3 linked regions of the Neodiprion lecontei genome follow. The main gene of each other region encodes a partner of the protein of the gene in region 3 in a complex. Links are inferred from orthologs where the notes say so. Each region holds a gene or a part of one and is shown on either strand. Other genes may lie near its edges.

Region 1 (6,121 bases), on a different chromosome or scaffold from region 3:
TGCAATATACTTAACTTCTCAATTAAAACAGCGATTCTAGGCGTAATCCTGTGTGATAATAAATCAAGTTTTTTCGTAAACGTAAAAAACTGTAATACTATTTTATATCAAGTTTCATAATAAGGTCTAAGTAGGTATTATTTACTAAACAAGTTTTGACTTGTTTACAAACGGATAACGTTCATTATTTTCATTTAAAAAAAAAAAGAAGAAACAACGTGACAAGTTTCGGGTAAATAAGTGCAGCAACCCGAAGTAAAGAATCAACGGAATCTGTATGCAATTCACCATCTAAATACATCTATTAATGTAATTTCGCATACATACGTGAAAATATCACTGTATCATTATATGACATATGTATATTAGCTCAGATAAAATATAATTACTGATTAAAATTTGTTACACATTGTTAAATAAGTACCAGATTTTCGAGCGCCTATAGCAATAATAGAAAGATATTCAGAAATTCGAAGTTAAGGTCTTCGAACAAGTATGCAGAATCTCCTATCAAAATAGTGTATTTTTAACTACTCTATCAAATTCTCTTTATTTCGCTCATTTTTCATCAACTATTGCATCAAAAATACTAGCAATGAATTGGATATCTAACAATATAAGTGTCGGTATATAGAAAGTGTTATGTACCGTTTGTCAATAAACTGTTTTATTTTACTTGTATTTTGGTTCGTATATCGTTTATGTGATATAATAATATTGTCATGTTTATCATTATCATTCAACTCATTAAACTTCTCGTTGCATATACCGTGTAGGTTGAGTATACAATAGACGACCACCGACATTTGCAGCAGACGCACTGACATAAGTACCAGGTGGAGGTGGATACGCACCAGGAGGAGGCTGTGGTGCCCTGACTGGATACCCTGATGTAATACCACCGGTTTTAGCACCCTGTGAAATAGTGATGAAAGAAGTAGTATGAAGGAATAAAACTTTCACAACGAATAAGACTTGTATGTTTAGGTTTTCAACTTGCGAAACCGATACCTGCGGTGGCTGTTGTATGGGAATAGCTCCTCCGTGAACAGTGACGTGGCTACCTGGCCGGAGGTAGAATTTGTCCTCCGAATAAGCTCCTTTGTGCTCCAAAGAATGCATACTTGCAACGTAAGCTAGTGAAAATTTTTTTTCGAATTTGGTCGAATTCTTCATGAGTGAATACAACATCAGGGTTTGTTTATGAATATGTTATTAATCTTAGCTTGGTTAATTTGAATACTCCTCTGCATGCCTTACCAGGTTGATGAGATGACATTGTGCCTCGACTACCAGCCAAATAGTTCAGTTTCCCAGGTTCAGGTTCTCTAGAAGACTGAGAACTAGGTGCTGTGTAGTTGTAGACATTCTGACCCTGTGGCGCTGAGTAGAAATTTGACGTTGAATACTGGTTTCCCTCTGTGAAGAAAGATCAAATGGTTAGTACTACGTTTTGCATTCAAATGAGCAGACTCGTACGAAGTATTAGGTTTCGATTTTACCAAGCTCATCAGAAGTTTAAATACTCACTGTTCCAAAGCACAGCTCTGACATCGCTAGATCTCCTCGCCGCATCTTCAGATTCTAAAAAATATACCATTTGATACCAGCAACAAGAGGACATTCTTTTCTGCAGAAAAATTGAATTGACTAAGAATAGTCTGTTTAAAACATATCGAATAAGACTTCTTCATTCGACAAGAAACAAAAATACCTACTTGCTGGCGGTGGATTATAGCTGGGAATGGAAGGTGGAGGTTTATATCCGTATCCGGAGTGATACGGGGAAGCAGTGAGAGGCGGTGAAGGACTATGCGTTCGCTTCAAGGGTCCCTGAAAACAGACACAAGAATAAGATGAAATCGAAATTGAGGTAATGATAATTTTTGAGAAAAATAAACCAAACGATACATGCAATTCTGTGAATTGTACGCACACTTGGCAGCATTGAGTGCGTTGGTGCAGTTGCTGGAACTTTGTAATGCGGACTTCGTGTTTGCAGTGGTAAAAACAACTGAGGATGAACCACTCCGGCTCCGGTGCCAGGGTAGCCACCCACTGCCGACAACACCTCCGACGTTACGCTAAAAATGTAAGTTTTTTCATTATTACCAAAGAAACGTTACTAACAATGAAAGGCGACATATCTCATTTATAAAACAGCTCAGGCTGCTGTAAGGACCAAGATTTTGAGGTTCCTGGTTCTTCTGCAGAAAATTTATGAGTCTGATAAGCACTATCAGATTCACAAATTTTACGCTAATTCATTAGCGTCTCGAGCAATATTAGTCATCTGTGAGCACAAGGCAGTATTACCGAAGTGCTAACTGTAAGGAATTGCTTCATTGTATTGATAAGTTATCACCTAGTCTCTTTGATAAGTTGACGTCTGCGATTATCATCTTCGTTCAGAACTTTCTTTAGTTGTAAAAAGAGCTGATGCTTCTCATCCTTGAGTTGCGACAGTTCACTTTCGAGACGTGATATCTGAACGCGAGTTTCTCCAAGTGTCATAACATCCTGCTTTTGTTGACGCTCTCTTTCCTTCCTTTGACGTTCCTCTTCAGCATCTGCTTCTTGCTCTGTACATCAAATATAACACGTGTATGCAAAGGATTTGTTACGCTGTTGATGTTAAAAAAAATTTCCATTTCCGTAGGGCGATATTGTCACAAAGTTAAAACTTGAGTTACCTTGTTTCTTTCTTTGACGTTCTCTAGTTATATGGGTTTTTAAAGCCTGCCACATCTGTTCGCTGCGCTGTGGTGGCTCGACTATTACAGCTGGCATGTTGATGGGGTGTCAATGAAATTTGTTCACTCCAAAACGAAAATAGTTTAGTAAGTCCTACAAAACTATGCTGTCCGTCCTGTAACCACCAGTCTACAAACGCGTTTTCAATAACTAGTTATTGATTTGTGCAGTAATTTTCATTTCGTGTTACGAAGTTCATAGTGTATTTTTCTTTACATTTTAATATTATTTACTTTTTACAAACAGATGTTAACGCAAATGACTATAGGTTGGTACTATGATAGTTTCGCCCACTTTTGTACCTGCATATATGCCCGACACACGTATACGGGCCTGTGTAAGCTTATTGCTTACTCAGAGGCATGCAAGGATAATAGACCATCGGAGTACGGAGGTTGCACGTTGGTAAATGCGGTAGCGCAATAGAAAGAGAAAGCTGCATATAACACCTGTATCCTTGTCTAATGGCGCATGCGCGTTCCGCGTTTCTTTTCAGCAAGAATGAAATAGAAAATGAACGGAGGAGTGGAAGTTCTTATATTGTATATACATAAAACCACGCATAAAACATTAGAATCAAATAATTGAATGTTAAATTGTAAAATGCTGTCTGTGCTTTATTGATTCATTTTTGGGAAACCTCCAATCACAATACGAATCAATGTATATAAGTATGAAATTTGTAGTTTAGGCTATAAACTACAAATACAATACTTACATGTGAAAACTACGTTCGCATTTTGGAATTTGTTTTGCTTTACATATGAGGCATATTCCTGGTATTTTGGTTAGTATTTTCAGTTATTTTCATACACAAAATCACATTAAATAACATTTGGTAGCAACATGGATATAATAATAAACTCAGTGGACGCGGTGAACGCGCAAATTCGTAGTTACGCGTGCCCCGCGCATGTGCCACCAGACGAAGACTGCGGTGAACCATGCAACTTTCTCTTTCTATCCCGCTATCGACTTCTCAGGCCGGCTACGCGGTCTATGCTTATAGGTATTGTCAATGAGCCAAACGCTACTGGTACGTTTTCGCTCTCGCTTGCTCGCGTTGTTCGTACCGTAAAACCCTCAACTTTGGATTGAAATTATTCGGAAACGGTACGGTGGAGCATACTACACTCAGCGAGGGAAGATTTCGACAGCTCATGAAAAATATTGTAATGAATTAATACACTTTTTTTTTTTATTCATGTCCCCGTTTTAGTAGCGCCCTATGATACTAAATAAGTCTTTGGAACTAATTTTCCAGGTGCTCCTGGACGGTAAATGCATTTCGGTTACCGACAATATTCTGTCGTATTTAGCATCACGAAAGCAATGGATAATGCAGAGCAATATTTACCATAGTAGAGTACAACTGCTGGTGGTCGAAAGCCTTTTTATAAAAAAATATGTATTGATGATAGAACATGATTCATGGGGTCCTCTATTAACGATTATACCCAAACTACAACATCATATACGTTTTTATTTTGTCACAAATCATCGATTTATTACATACAAGACAATAACTAATTCACGAAACACGTATCAATGTCTTTGATTCCTATTCGATTCGTTATTCGACCAAGAAACTACATGTGCGCATCATTGGCAAAAATCTTTAAAATGAAGATACTCTTCTTATTACACGTAGTATTTTCACTCCGTTGTCTGTCAATATCGCATCTAGTATATCGAAGCTAAAGACATGTGTACATACTTCATGAATTATAATAGATCGACGTCAATTCTTGTTCGTGTTTTGAATTTAATATCATTAAAAAAAATCAGATATATTGTCCATTATTCACACTGAAAAATATGCAACTCTGATTTTTGAAATATTATTTAAAAAAAGACAGCAATGGGGACCGTCAATGTGGCTGGAAATTTTCTTTATAGTTGTACCACATTATGTCAACAATGTTTGTAAATCAGAATTTTTTGTCATGTTAATGATAATACATGTTGAATTATAACGAATATTTATATTCTCACATTCACAATCAGTTATAGGTGATGTATCCGTTGTTGTTTTACATAATATCTCGATCATTTCAATCACAGCGGTTTAGTTAGCAACAGTAAAAAAGCGAAAAAGGAGAAGAATAAACGAACGTAAATGTAAGGTGTTAACATTTAGGTATAAATGCCCATACGACATCAAATCTTCAATTCCTAAGACAACAGCGCAACTTCAGCTTGGATATTTTTACGTGCTTGTTCCTCAAACTTTTCGCGAAACTCCTTGGTAGCAAATATGTTTGGAATTTGCAAAAAATTTTGCAACACCTGTAAAATTCGTATGCCATCAACCCAAAAAAAAAAGAAAACAAAGCGAACAAAAGATCATATCAATTATAAATGTCTGTACAAAGTAGGAACATAAGGACGTATACAAATTACCTTAAGTCTTAACGCGGTATACATCGGTGCACTAAGGAACCCATATTCACCGCGTACACGTTCTGTATATTCTGTATACTTCTCAGGTTCGGCACCCAGTATGGCCATATCCAAGTCAAGAAGATAGTGAGCATCCTCTTCGCCAAAGGCACCTCCAACCTTGTGTGCATCTGTACTATGAGTAGCAGCTGCTTTCAGCAGAGCACAAACCTCATTGCGTAATTCTCCATCCTGGGAATGTAGATTGTCAAGTCTTTGATAGAAACTTGTAACGTTATTGAATTCAATTAGAGAGATGTACCGAGATGAAAAGTAATTGAACTCACCGCAGGGATTTCTGCCTCATCTGCAAAGGTAATAAAGTGTTGTAGATTTTTTTCCTCGCAATCCAACGCCTTTGGATCATACTCAAAACTGCAAAATTTACATCAGGTTTAAATATTTTATTTATCTTTATTCAAACATATGTTATCATCGATTGATAAGTTACTTTTGAAAGAACAGTGCGAGGAGTACGGCCCTGGGATTAGTTAAATTGTCCTTAATCTCGTAGTAGTGGAGTAACTTGTCTTGAAGATAATCAAGATTGTGGTAGGTTCGTTTCTCTTCAGAATAGACATCCTGCAACTTGATTATCCAAGTGTCGCACGTGTCACTGTTCAATCCTTCTGTAGCCTCCTTCCAACTTTCTTCAATCGATGCCATTTTGCGTTATGTACTAATTAAATTCAATTTTGTGCCAAGCAGGTCAGAATTTATTCCAGTATCCAATTTTGCGTACATAAGACTTGTACTTTTCAATTTGCTATAACAGATAATTACGGTAAAGAATCTATGTTACGATTGACATGAATTTATGAATAAAAAATTCTCACAACTCAATAAAAATGATATATGGGCCAGGGATGTCATTTCACGAGGTATGAATAAACGTTATTTTAGAAAACCATAATTCTGAAGACCA
Region 2 (5,345 bases), on a different chromosome or scaffold from region 3:
ATGGGGTTTGTCTTTGTGACTACCCAATAACGACAGATTAAGACCCAGATAAATTTGCGATATACATATAGCATGAACAATTGGACACTTATATAATATACGTATAAGGATTTGATTCTATACAAGTACTTTGTACAGAATTCTATTTCGTACAGCTTTTTAATAACACTACGTAGACTAGCGTCTCACATTTACCTAAATATCATCAATGTCATATTCCAATCATATTTTTATTAAATACATGGTGATGTGAAATTTTATGACCATGTGACTCAACCACCATAAAACTTTTTTCAACACTATTTTTTTCTGTGAGGTTAATCAATCATGTATTTTTTACACACAATGTTTAATGTACTGCAATATTTTACCACAGCTGGCTGTTGACTTATTTATTAGATTATTAATATAATGTTGACTAATAAAATACTTATTTAGGTATTTACACAAGAAAATGAATTACCCATTATTTCTCTAATCCTGTTGTATCATTGCCGTCACTACAAATATATGTATTATATTTATAGCGATCTACGCACTGATCTGTAATTTGTCTCAAGTAATATTTAAGTAGCATTTCGCTTTTGGATCACGAGAATGAGGACGAATGCATTCTATGATCAGTACAATTCGAATCTCGCGTTTGAAAATTATAAATATGGTGATAAAATTCATCAGTGATGATACATATGAACTGCATCAAAACCGATTCTCGTATTAAATTCGGGAAAAAGCATTTTTAAAGAGATACGATTAGAAATACTTGAACAATGAGTCAAATGCGATGTACACTATAAATTTCCATCGGACATTGATAAATGGAAGAATCTCATCCATCAAATCAAATTGTAGAATTGCATTAGAAACATCGAGAATCGAAAGAGCATAGAAGTAAATTTCTGGTTATTATCTAACAATTATTTGCAACTATATTTACCCGCAATAAGTCTTTCTATTACAGTGCTATAAGTGGAGCTTCGACGCTCCGTTTAGAGTGTCTCCATTCATTAAGATCGGCCAATATCCTCCTCCCGTAAGCGGTATGGAGCTCTCTAAAAGTAATTCTCGTTCTTGGAATATTCTCGGTTCTTCCTGGAGCAGATCTGACACTTTGAGATCGATGATGAGTATCAGGTTTGTTAAATGGATTGTGGCGTTGTCTAGGTGGCGCCTTGGGAGATTCAACAGGTGGAGAAGTAGGTGTGACTTCTTCCTCCGCAGCGTCCAGCTGCCGTTGTAGTTCGGCAACCATTAATTTCATGTAATCATAACTAGCGCATGCCAATGCCTTCATCCACTGCTCCATTGAATCCTACGAATTTATAAAAAAACAAAATAAGGCTTCCGGCCAATTGAAAGTTGGAGACAAGGAGAAAAATACTCACTTGCGACTCGGCTCCCAAGGCGTAGCTTCTGTTGTTGGGACCGTGGAAAACGATTTTGAAACCAAACTGCTCCTCGTCTTCAGCGAGCTCGATGGTGCACCCTTCGAGGACGATCATCCCGACAGGTTCCTTGTCGCCTCGCCGATCGAAATAGAACAAAATGTTGCCCTTGAGGACAAACCACCGCCTCTGGTATCCTCCTTTGACTTCGCCGCGTTTGTTGAGCCATCCCTCGCGGTCTACAGGAGTTGCTGACGTCGCGAAAGCGACCATATTTTTCTCGTTTATTTTCATCGCGTCGAAATGGTGTATTATTGGCTCTCTACGTCTTTCGCCTCAAATATTTGTTAGGTTATGTTGACCTGTCAGGTGCGTACGGACACGGCCATATTGGATCTGACGTCGACTATCGCTCATTTTTTCCTCGTACTCATGTGACGCATGTCGTTGACAGCTACGCTCATGTTAGGTTTTAAAAGCGCTGTAACAGTTGGAAAAATATTGAAGTTCTTGACAAAAATTATTTGAGTTGCTAAATTCGATAATATTTTAACGCGAAATAATTCGGAGTGAAATTGTTCATAAATTTTTTATAAAAAAAATATTAAACTGTGCTGTGTAATTTAATTCTAAAATGAGTCCGGTAAACGACCACAGTTTTTAGTTTCAAAAAATGCCGACTCTTCGACGTGGCAGCAGTACTTTCAGTTTGCTTTTTCACAACTCTTCACCACTCTTCATCGTGTCTGATGATTGTGGTGTCACCTGAATTAACCTCGTCATTTTTATTTGTCAAAGAAGTATTGACCGTGGTATTGAGTGTTGTGTATTTAATTTTCTGTCAGCTGCGCCATTTTTTTCTAAAACACGTTGATTATTGTTTACAACATAATCACCAGTCATGGGAAAAGGATTCAATAATTACATGTGCAAGAAATTCTTTCACCCAGCATCTAGGGATAATTTAAAGCGAGTACGTATACGACACATACGATATAATACGAGAAATTCTATGATTCACTCGCGAACCCGTCAACGTTAGATGATCAACGATCTAAAATCGATATTAACGAATGATTAACAGGTATGGATGGCCGAGCAACAGGCTGAGGCGTATAAGAAGAAACAAGAGGAATTACGTGTACAGTACGAGAAGGAACAGGATCTTCACAACAACAAGTTAATATCCGCATTGATTACATACATTCAAGGCAATATCGAAAGCGTGGTCGATAATAAAGTGCAATTTAATTATTTCCAGAGCTCTGCTGAGCAAGGAGAGTAAAGACAAATTGAGCGTAAATTTTATGTACGAACCTCCGCCAGGGGCAAAAAAAGAAAGAGAAAAGGAAGACAACGAGCCTGAGTATAAATTTGAGTGGCAACGAAAGTATAACGCGCCGAGAGAAAGCTACTGTAAAGGAGACAGTGAGATTAGAGATCAACCTTTTGGTATACAGGTTCGGAACGTTCGTTGTATAAAATGCCACAAGTGGGGTCACATCAACACAGGTAAATTTAATTCTTTCTGTTTATGAAAATAAGAAAATTAGCATTTTCTAGTCACACATCTTGATTTTTTTTCTCTATTCTCTCCCTCGCAGACAAAGAATGCCCGCTGTATAGCCAAGCGATGAGCGTAGTAATGGCCAATACCCAAACTCAACCAGCATCACCAGCTCCCGATGCTCTGACTCTGGTCCAGCAAATGAGGGATGATGGATTGGCACTGAAAAAGTAAATTTCAGCACAATTTTTAGTCAACTCGAGTCATATCTTGTAATAATTTACTCTTTTTGAGTCTGGAACGTACTCTCTCTACAGCTATCATATCTTCCTGATATGACTGTGGCTTATATTTTCATTACGACTGTATTACTATAATCCATCAGGGTGAAAATAAAGATATTATGAGGCACGACTATAGTATATACTACACAGTAGGGACGAATTGAATCTGGTGATACTGATTTTTTTGTTTAGATCGGCTCTGGATGCTCAACAACACCTCAGGGTACCGGAACACCAAGATCTGATGGTTTCTGAAGATGAAGAGCAGTCTGAGGTTAATTTTTTGAGATCTCTTTCGAAAAAAGAGAAAAAAAAGCTGCTCAAGTGAGTATTGAATAGGGGCGTGCGTTTGTGAGATTAATTAATCTGTAGAAACATTGTACAAAGTTTGAATTTTGTTTTTCTTCTATAGGAAATTGGAAAAACTTGAAAAGAAAAGCCGGAAAGAAAAGAAGAAAAAGGTGAAAAAACATGATGCTAAATCTAGCAGTAGCGATGATAGTAGTTCAGAAAGTACAGATGCACATAGCGATAGAAAGAAAAAGAATAAGAAGGCCCGGTCCGAAAAGGAACCAGCATTCCACTTGGACGGCAATTTCGAATACAAAGATACTGAAGGAAGAAGGTATGGTGATAAGAAAAAAAAGCATAGAAAAGATAATAAATGTAAAGCTGATACTGATAATAAAAATAGAGAAGAAAAAGAAAACTATAGGAATAAATCTAGCAAAGAACATCATAGTAATGGAAGAAAGAGGAGTTATAGTCAATCTAATGAAGAGCAACGTACGGAGCAACATAGAAGAGAGAAGAAAGGAAAATATTAATTAAAATTTAGATGTACGTACCTAAAATATGTAATTTAGTTGATTCCGCTCTTTCGATTCCTTGAGTTTGAGACGAGACTCACTCAGAGTATCTTTGTTAGCTGGTTAAAAACCAACACCCAAGCTTATGGGTGTTTTACTTATATAAATATGTAATGTAGGTAATAAGCAATTGTTACTTTCAATTCTTATTGCATAGTTGAAAAAATGGTCATTAAATTATGTGGAATTAGGAAATTATATCGTTAAGAATTAAAATTACCGTTATAAACATATTATGCATATGTCACATTCGGTTATTACATGCATACATACATACTTAGATGCTAGGTATAAGTAAAAATAAAATTGTACACAAGCGAAGGAAAACTGTTCTATACGATGTACAAAATTTGAAATAAAATTCAATTGATAACAGTGAGAATCTGTTGTGTAAAATTATTAACCATAATATCAATGGTGGACAAGTTTAGGTTAGTCTGTTTCGAAAGCAGACAAAGGATTCTTAGTCAATTTGGTGTGAAATATAAAGTACCTTAATTGGCAACAGTAATAATTATGATCGACGAAAATAAAAGTTAACAAAAAGAGACATTCCTGTAGATTTATTCAATTTACTTACAATATTAACGGAAGCGCTTCTATAAGAGGGCCTTAAACCTTTTCTAATAAATCAAATACGTCCTTCTCGCAAGGATAAAAATATATTACCTGTGCATTATTATTTATATGCGTGTATAATATTTTTATTTTTTTTTTATATTAGGTACTTTAAGGTTGTAACTCAATCCCAGTAATATTTATAATTTATATCATATTCATTCACCTGTAAGCCACAATTTAACTATTCGATATAAGTTTCATTTTATCCTATTCATTGTAGATGTAACATATTAAGGAAATTTCAAAGTGGAACAACAAATTCATGCTCTTCAATTCCGTCGCTCTTCATATACGTGAACTTAAAAAGCTAACAAGACTTAAATACGTCAAGTTTGACATTGAACAATATTATCATTTACATATCAATATTGAAGAAAAACATTTTATTCTTTTTAATTATATATCAGGAGGTTGGCATAACTTTTGTACATACAGAAGCGACGTGAAACCGACAGTTGGAATTGAACAATTGTAAATGAGCATGCGGCTTGTAAGTGAATAAATACGGTATTAGATTTTAAAAATATATACCTATAATAACGTAAGTCTATATTACAAACACCACACACTCAGGTATACAAGGCTACAAGCAAATGTGCGTTATTTACGAAATATTTTTTACACAACGAAGGCCGATGTCGTAAATAATTCTTTCGATATTGAGGAATAATCTGAAACA
Region 3 (7,338 bases):
TTTGCGTCGTGGTCACTGACTTACATTTTCGTTGGCTACCTGTTGGGAGCAAAATGTTTTTGTATCGTAGTCTGCCTACTCAGAATACAGTATCGCGGTTATCTTCCGCCAACCCTAATATTGCATTTATTATTTTAGTAAATGTTGGCAGACTATCGATACATCAACCTTTTGTAAAATTGATTAATACATCCTGTATGCCAATTAGCATTTTTCTTAGCGAGCTAAGCCTGGAGTTGCTCAATACATGTTGGATGTTAAAAGATTGAAAATGATACATAATGTAAAATGCAATTTGATTACGTTACGTTATGCCAGACTTTGGAGTTTTATCGATTCAACAATAATGTAAATAATTGAATACATTCAAACCTCAGGTGAACCCACCACTTAAACGGCTTCATCGGTAAATTCAAAAGTAGATTATTACACCAGTTACAAAACACAATTCGATCTCGCGAGTGCCGAGTAAGCGATGGTTACCTGTCGCGATGCTCATTCCACTATTAGCAGCGTGTAAAACGTCTAACATTAAGTAAGCTATGGTAAATTGCATTGCGAAAAAAAAATTATTCGACTGAAAGTTAAGCACGTTGCGTTCGTGAATGAGCCTAACCATGCAGCTAAGAAATCGAAGATTTGTGTAACAATTGTTACCGCCACGCCACGTGACAGAGGAATCCCAGGGAAATACCCATAACCTAACACATGCAAACTCACCAACGTTGCCGAGAAATAGGGAAGTTACTCGGAAGTCTCTGCTTAAATCTGTAAAAAACATAACAAGACACGTGAATTAGTTTAGCAAATTGGCTTTTCAGTTTTCAAATGAATTATTACTGTTGGCTAGTTTCGTATTTGTGCATTGCATGTTATGCAAGAACAAAATTTCGGCTTTAAATGACCACCGTGAATTATCAATCAATAATTAAAGTATTGTTACCTCGACTCTGGGTTGCTCCACACTTTTACACGTAGTAGTTCTTGTAGCATCTCAGGTTTATAGGTCAAGCGACGCACTGTTCACACAATTCAGATCTTCACTAATTTCTTATAATCCATAAATCCGCACCGCAATAACATTCGATTTGACACTCACTTTTTGTGCTGTAGCTGTCTGAACCGACTGAATAAAGCTGCTAATAAAAAACAATAAAATTAACTATCGACGCACAGACACAAAAATAGACATCACTGAAATCTGAAGTTACACAAAGCACTGAAAACTCGGGACACGAAATTCACCTTCAACGTTCGCAGGAATTTTTTTATTTCAGTAACTCGGTATTTTTTCAGGCTACACGCGGCTTCTCGTGTATTATTTACAGATGAGTGAAAATGTACTAATCGAAAATGCACTGATCGAACGTCGTGACACAAACTGAAGAACGCGGCTGGGCCTGAACGTTGAACCGGTACCGAGAACACGAGAACGCGTCACTTCGCTCCAATTGCTCGGCAACGACTGAAGCCGCGCGGCGCTCACAAGGGAGTAAAATCAGTTGTCTGAAGGACGGAAGATAATAACCCCCCCTGACGTTTTTCTCAGGAGTGGGGGTAGCTGCACGCGACATGAGGGCGGGAGAATTATTATCTTCCGTCCTTTAGAGAACCGATTCGAATCCGTTCACGGGACGCTTATGCGGTTGCTAGAGCATTACCGTAACATGCGACGTCAGGCGAAGTATGAATTCCGCGACCAATTACGGATATTTTTTGAATGGGATTTTCGCAACTGTTCAATTTAACTGTGACGACGTTATGTTACCAATATTTTGCACGCGATAGTTGTTGGTTGTGAAGAACTTCTTTTAGTGGCGTGGTCAGCCCGTCAAACTGTTACGCGAAATAACCCAGATTTATTAATCTCTATATATCCTCAGTCAACGCTTGACTAACACCCGTATTCATAGTCCTTCTATGACTATGAATACGGGTATAACACTGAACCATCACTGACCAGTGAATTCCGATGTGATCGCTAGGGGCCGTGTTGGTATTAGGTTGGCAAACCTCGCCAGGGTTCCGGCAGTACGGCAATTTTGAGAGGCGAAGGTAAAGTGAATCAACAATCCTGCAGTGTAACTGAGACACAAGACTGCAGACAGTACTTGCAGGGCAACAATTTAGATACTGAGTGGTATGACGATTGGAATAACAAAGTGTTGTTATGTATGTACGTAGCCGGTATACTTTGCAATTGGAAGTAAAAAATTCATCATCGATGATGATTTTCACGTGTAATGTCAGTACATAAATCGTAAACTACAAGAAAAGTTGTGTGTTTTATAAATTTCCAGTCAGTCTTAACCTCAAAAAATGAGTACTAACAAAAAAGTGTCATACTTCTACAATCCCGACGTGGGTAACTTTCACTACGGACCTGGACATCCGATGAAACCACATAGACTCTCAGTTATTCACAGTTTAGTGCTCAATTACGGGCTGCATAAAAAAATGCAAATATATAGACCGTATCGTGCCAGTACCCATGACATGTGTCGGTTCCACTCGGATGAGTACGTTGAATTCTTGCAACGAGTTACCCCCCAAAATCTTCAAGGATTCACAAAATATTTGAGCCATTTCAACGTAGGCGACGACTGTCCCGTCTTCGAGGGATTATTCGACTTCTGTTCCATGTACACTGGCGCGTCACTGGAGGGAGCTATAAAGTTGAACAACAATTGTTGCGATATAGCAATCAATTGGTCAGGGGGTCTACATCATGCTAAGAAATTTGAGGCATCGGGGTTCTGTTACATCAATGACATCGTCATAGCAATTTTGGAGCTGCTCAAATATCACGCGCGGGTTTTATACATTGATATAGACGTGCACCACGGAGATGGAGTCCAAGAAGCATTTTATCTGACGGACAGAGTGATGACGGTATCATTTCACAAATATGGCAATTACTTTTTTCCTGGCACGGGAGATATGTATGAAATTGGAGCAGAGAGTGGCAGGTATTACTCAGTAAATGTGCCCTTAAAGGAAGGTATCGACGACACAAGTTATGTACAAGTCTTTAAACCGGTCATCTCCAATGTCATGGAGTTCTTTCAACCGACTGCGATAGTACTACAATGTGGAGCGGATTCTTTGGCTAATGACCGGCTTGGATGCTTCAGTTTGAGCACCAAGGGCCATGGAGAATGTGTCAAGTTTGTTAGGGATTTGAATGTGCCTCTTTTAACGGTCGGTGGAGGCGGATATACTCTGAGAAACGTTGCACGATGCTGGACTTATGAAACGTCTTTGTTGGTTGACGAGCAGATAAGCAACGAGCTGCCGTATACAGAATATTTGGAATACTTTGCACCTGACTTCACACTGCATCCAGAAGTTGTTACCAGACAAGATAACGCTAATAGCAAACAGTATTTGGAGGCAATAACAAGACATGTTTATGATAATCTTAAAATGGTACAGCATTCGCCTAGTGTTCAGATGCAAGATGTTCCTTGCGATGCTCTCCCTCCGGAGGAAGAGAGACAACCCGAACCTGATCCAGATTCAAGGCAAAATCAGCAAGATACAGATAAACAAGTTGAACCTGCAAATGAATATTACAGCGGTGATAAGGACCAGGACAAATCTGACACAACGGAAATATGATTAAAGCTTATTCATAGAAATTGTAAATAGTAGGAGATTGTAAGACTAAAATAAGTATACATAAGTATTGAGTATAAGTTAATAGTTCATGTATATGTATAATTGAATGACATTATGCGATAATGAAACAAGTTGACATGCCCTGCTTTTGATTTTGTTGTTTCAAACGAATGTTGCAAATTGCATTACTAGAAAAAAGTTCATCTTCTACATTATAAGGGTGAACTTGGAATACTTATTTCAAAAAACTTCTTTCTCTGAGCTTGAGGAAAATGGTACAATTTAAAATCCACAATGTGTTTCTTGAAAATGTATATTGTTCGAGTTACCTCATTATTGCGTGCTGCCATTCAACTGATTACCTACGTATGTATTTAATTTAAATTTTTACTATTAATTGTTTTTTTTTCTCACCATCTTGGTTTTTGGCATTTTTCGCATGAGTTAAAATTTATGATGCCGAGTAAAAATGCTACAAATAATATAGAGCTAACAAAATTCCACATTTTCTTGTTTCTATACTTTTAATTACCTATTAATCAACTAGACAGTCGAATCTGAGGCACTTATTCGACAACTTTGATTTTATAATAAGTATTTCATTTATCATGCATTTTTGTACTGCCAAAATATTCACATAGGGATCAAAATATGTGTACCCCTACTATTGCTTAGGAATATCTAGTAGTAGTGTTTTGAGACTCATATAACATTTCTACTCGCATTTTTTAATTCATAATAATTAATTGCAGAGCTATAAGCATTTATAAAGTTCTACAAGTGTATTGATATAGTATGATTGCTTCTTTGCATCAAACAATTTCAATAGCCAGAATCATAATGTACAAAAGTTTATAGAAAATGAATCATTCAGCCTGCACACAGAATAAAAAGTGCAATAGTTTCTGACTTTGGTGTTTTTCAGTCCTCTGGTATCTTTTCTCAAACAGTCACTGTGTATTATACAATGGTTTCACATTTTATAACTATATAAAATTGTAACTAAGCAAATGAATTTTTGATGGCAAATTTGAAGCAAAACGATTCTAATTTAGATGAAAGAACAATGTTTTTCAGGCTAATAATTTACATTTTCTGAAATAAAAGCCCAGTGTCTTCCTGTCATCAAATACGAGAAATAAACATTTGTATTCTTTTACTTACTGTACTTAAATTATACCCTACCATTCACTTGTGCTTTATATTACGCACAGCAGTGCACAATGAATCAAGAGACAATATGTGAGAGTGAACGATAATTCGGTGAACCAAATTAATGAAAACTTATGAAGTTTCAAGTAGCTTATTTCAAAATAGTGAAAGCTCAAATATATGGGCACATACCAAATCCTTTTCCTGCTAATCATGAAGTTGCAAGAGATCATACATTTTAATCTGAAAATATCTTTACCGAGCTTGTAGATTACTATTTTTTTTTAAGTAATCATTTTGCAGCACGTGGGATAATTATTTCTGCACATTCAATGCATTCACGTACGGAAGTCAGAGACAATTATCTGTAAAATATTTACCTGTTTATATTTGCTATTTCAATTACTATTAATAAATAAAAACAGTTCTGATCCTCGTCAAGTAATTTTATTATCTATGTTTATTATCGTATTGTCAATATAATTCTCTCTGTTCAGGGGCTATGTTGCTATATCACAGAGAACTTAAAAATTACTAATCGAGTTATTTCTGTAGTTCTATGAAATAGAAGTGAGCTTGCTATTTAGACACGCACAACTTGACATGGTCAAACTTTGTGAATTACAATAAATTAGATATATTAACTTAGAATAATTGATTCATGTACAATGAACTTTACACAAAGTGACAGGTGAGGCTTACGTGGTAAATATCGTCTGAAAATAATTAATGATATATTATACTTATCGCTCTAAATTAACAATAGAAGATACAAAAATACTCAACGTGACAAGGAACACAAGATATACATACGCAAACTTGCACATAAGCACTTGAGGTTATTTGTTTAAATTATACTTCTCAACTTCACTTTTTTTTTACAGTATTTTTATATGTTTGAGATAGTTCTTAAAATCTGCATTTAATTTTATATTATAATAATTATATAAAACTGGATAAAAAGCGACATTGAGTGGATGTATGTGTATTGTATATATATATATTTTTTTTTCTTTACACGTAACAATCATAGTAATCGTCAGTATGAGGATCTATTATAATATAGTTATGTTATTTAGTTTATTTATATCGTTATGTTCTCAGTCTCATGTAAAAGCAATCCCTTTGGTGGGAAAGGGCTCCCTTAAATTATGTTTGCTTTTCTTCAATAATCGTCCTCCTAGTGCAATACATTACTTTGACAGTATCATTCAGATCAGCTTAAAGCAAAATCTAAAAATTATATGAACTGGTCGATAGGATAGGATAACGCAAGTATTCCGGCGACAGATTATAGACAACTTAGTTTTAGTGTTTTACTTGTATGAAGAAAATATGATTACTCTAATTAATCACTGCTCGATTCAATTCAATTTTGTAAACTGGTTAGATAGTTGTTCAATTCCTTTATGGATAGGTAATGTTTTTATTTCTTCAATATATTCGTAATGCATCTATCACGATCAAGATGATAAAATCTTTAATCTAGTCGGTTGTAATCGAAAAAAGAATGTGAGATTGTACAATGACAAAAGTAGCTAATTTACATCCGGAAATATAAATATTTAAGAAGAAGCATACTTAACTCGTAAATTATATGTATCTATATACTGTATAAAGGTCGTGGAATTAAAAACGTGACCACGCTCTATCGTAACATGTGCATGATTATATTTCTCTTACCTTTGAAATTAAAGGTTGACAGATTATATAACTGAACCCTATATACTTAGAGAAAGTATCACACAGGTGAAACCTAGTTTATGTCTATGTACACATAATGAATAATTATAAAAATTAAAGGCATTTTTACCAGAACGGCAGGAAGTTTTACCTAGGAGCGTAAGAAAAGAGCGCCAGCCTTGAATGCCAGCCTCTAGGTTGCATAGTTGAGTAAAAATAAAAAAATTCAAGTAAATAATCTTAAAAAAGCCATCGAGAATTCTGCACTTTGGAACAAGCTCTTCATTAGAAAAATCACAATGCTAAAATGTGAAACATACATTAACATAAATGTCGAATACTTTCAGTTAAAATTCATCAAATTTAGAATTTGATAAATATCATGAAATGAACAAAGGAACTATCTGGAGACGATTTAATTCCACAGCACTCTTTTCTGTGATTCACACTCTCAGGTTTGGTTGACTAGATGCTTGCATATAGCCTGCCGGTAGTCACTGCCTTGTGTTACTATTGGTCATATCATTTTTTCCCAAACCTTTGCGTTCCATGTGTTGACTGAACAAAGGTTGTATATGCTGCACATGCAGCTAAATAGGCATTGGCTGAGATAAACTGGGTATTTGCTTTTACTTCTTCAATTTTCTGATGCACTTTTCACGTTTCAAAGTGTTTGTAGATACTAGTCACGTACGACATCACCTGTTGCCAATCCGGTCGCTCCAGTTGACACATGTCTCCGATGTTCTAATGGAAAAAGTAATTTCTTCATATATACAAACTCAACGCACAGTATTTAATAGTATTTGTGTTCGAATCATCCTGTCAAGGGTGCGCTATGTTCAACAAATTCCCAATTACATGAAAAGATTCTGAAAATCA

The links.
Region 1: histone deacetylase 3 (region 3) and G protein pathway suppressor 2 share a complex: the UniProt entries of both Homo sapiens proteins name them as parts of the N-Cor repressor complex. The link is inferred for Neodiprion lecontei from reciprocal best matches to the Homo sapiens genes HDAC3 and GPS2.
Region 2: histone deacetylase 3 (region 3) and corepressor interacting with RBPJ 1 share a complex: the UniProt entries of both Homo sapiens proteins name them as parts of the notch corepressor complex. The link is inferred for Neodiprion lecontei from reciprocal best matches to the Homo sapiens genes HDAC3 and CIRSR.

What each region holds. Positions count from the first base shown.
Region 1 is NC_060264.1:3,719,773-3,725,893, forward strand, and holds G protein pathway suppressor 2, read right to left. Parts: upstream 3,638-6,121; 5' UTR 3,473-3,637; intron 3,050-3,472; exon of another isoform or gene 2,884-3,049; 5' UTR 2,791-2,883; coding exon 2,694-2,790; intron 2,583-2,693; coding exon 2,366-2,582; intron 2,085-2,365; coding exon 1,916-2,084; intron 1,834-1,915; coding exon 1,719-1,833; intron 1,585-1,718; coding exon 1,531-1,584; intron 1,420-1,530; coding exon 1,261-1,419; intron 1,137-1,260; coding exon 1,012-1,136; intron 916-1,011; coding exon 748-915; 3' UTR 651-747; downstream 1-650. Other genes in the region: uncharacterized protein LOC107220910, read right to left, coding at 4,930-5,043, 5,158-5,388, 5,484-5,571, 5,648-5,862. UniProt on the Homo sapiens protein: Key regulator of inflammation, lipid metabolism and mitochondrion homeostasis that acts by inhibiting the activity of the ubiquitin-conjugating enzyme UBE2N/Ubc13, thereby inhibiting 'Lys-63'-linked ubiquitination.
Region 2 is NC_060264.1:2,183,121-2,188,465, forward strand, and holds corepressor interacting with RBPJ 1, read left to right. Parts: upstream 1-2,112; 5' UTR 2,113-2,286; coding exon 2,287-2,358; intron 2,359-2,469; coding exon 2,470-2,564; intron 2,565-2,646; coding exon 2,647-2,897; intron 2,898-2,989; coding exon 2,990-3,122; intron 3,123-3,368; coding exon 3,369-3,500; intron 3,501-3,588; coding exon 3,589-4,003; 3' UTR 4,004-4,427; downstream 4,428-5,345. Other genes in the region: sesquipedalian-1, read right to left, coding at 956-1,312, 1,386-1,679. UniProt on the Homo sapiens protein: May modulate splice site selection during alternative splicing of pre-mRNAs. Regulates transcription and acts as corepressor for RBPJ. Recruits RBPJ to the Sin3-histone deacetylase complex (HDAC). Required for RBPJ-mediated repression of transcription.
Region 3 is NC_060262.1:24,830,150-24,837,487, forward strand, and holds histone deacetylase 3, read left to right. Parts: upstream 1-2,030; 5' UTR 2,031-2,319; coding exon 2,320-3,621; 3' UTR 3,622-6,265; downstream 6,266-7,338. Other genes in the region: uncharacterized protein LOC107217481, read right to left, coding at 7,114-7,203. UniProt on the Homo sapiens protein: Histone deacetylase that catalyzes the deacetylation of lysine residues on the N-terminal part of the core histones (H2A, H2B, H3 and H4), and some other non-histone substrates.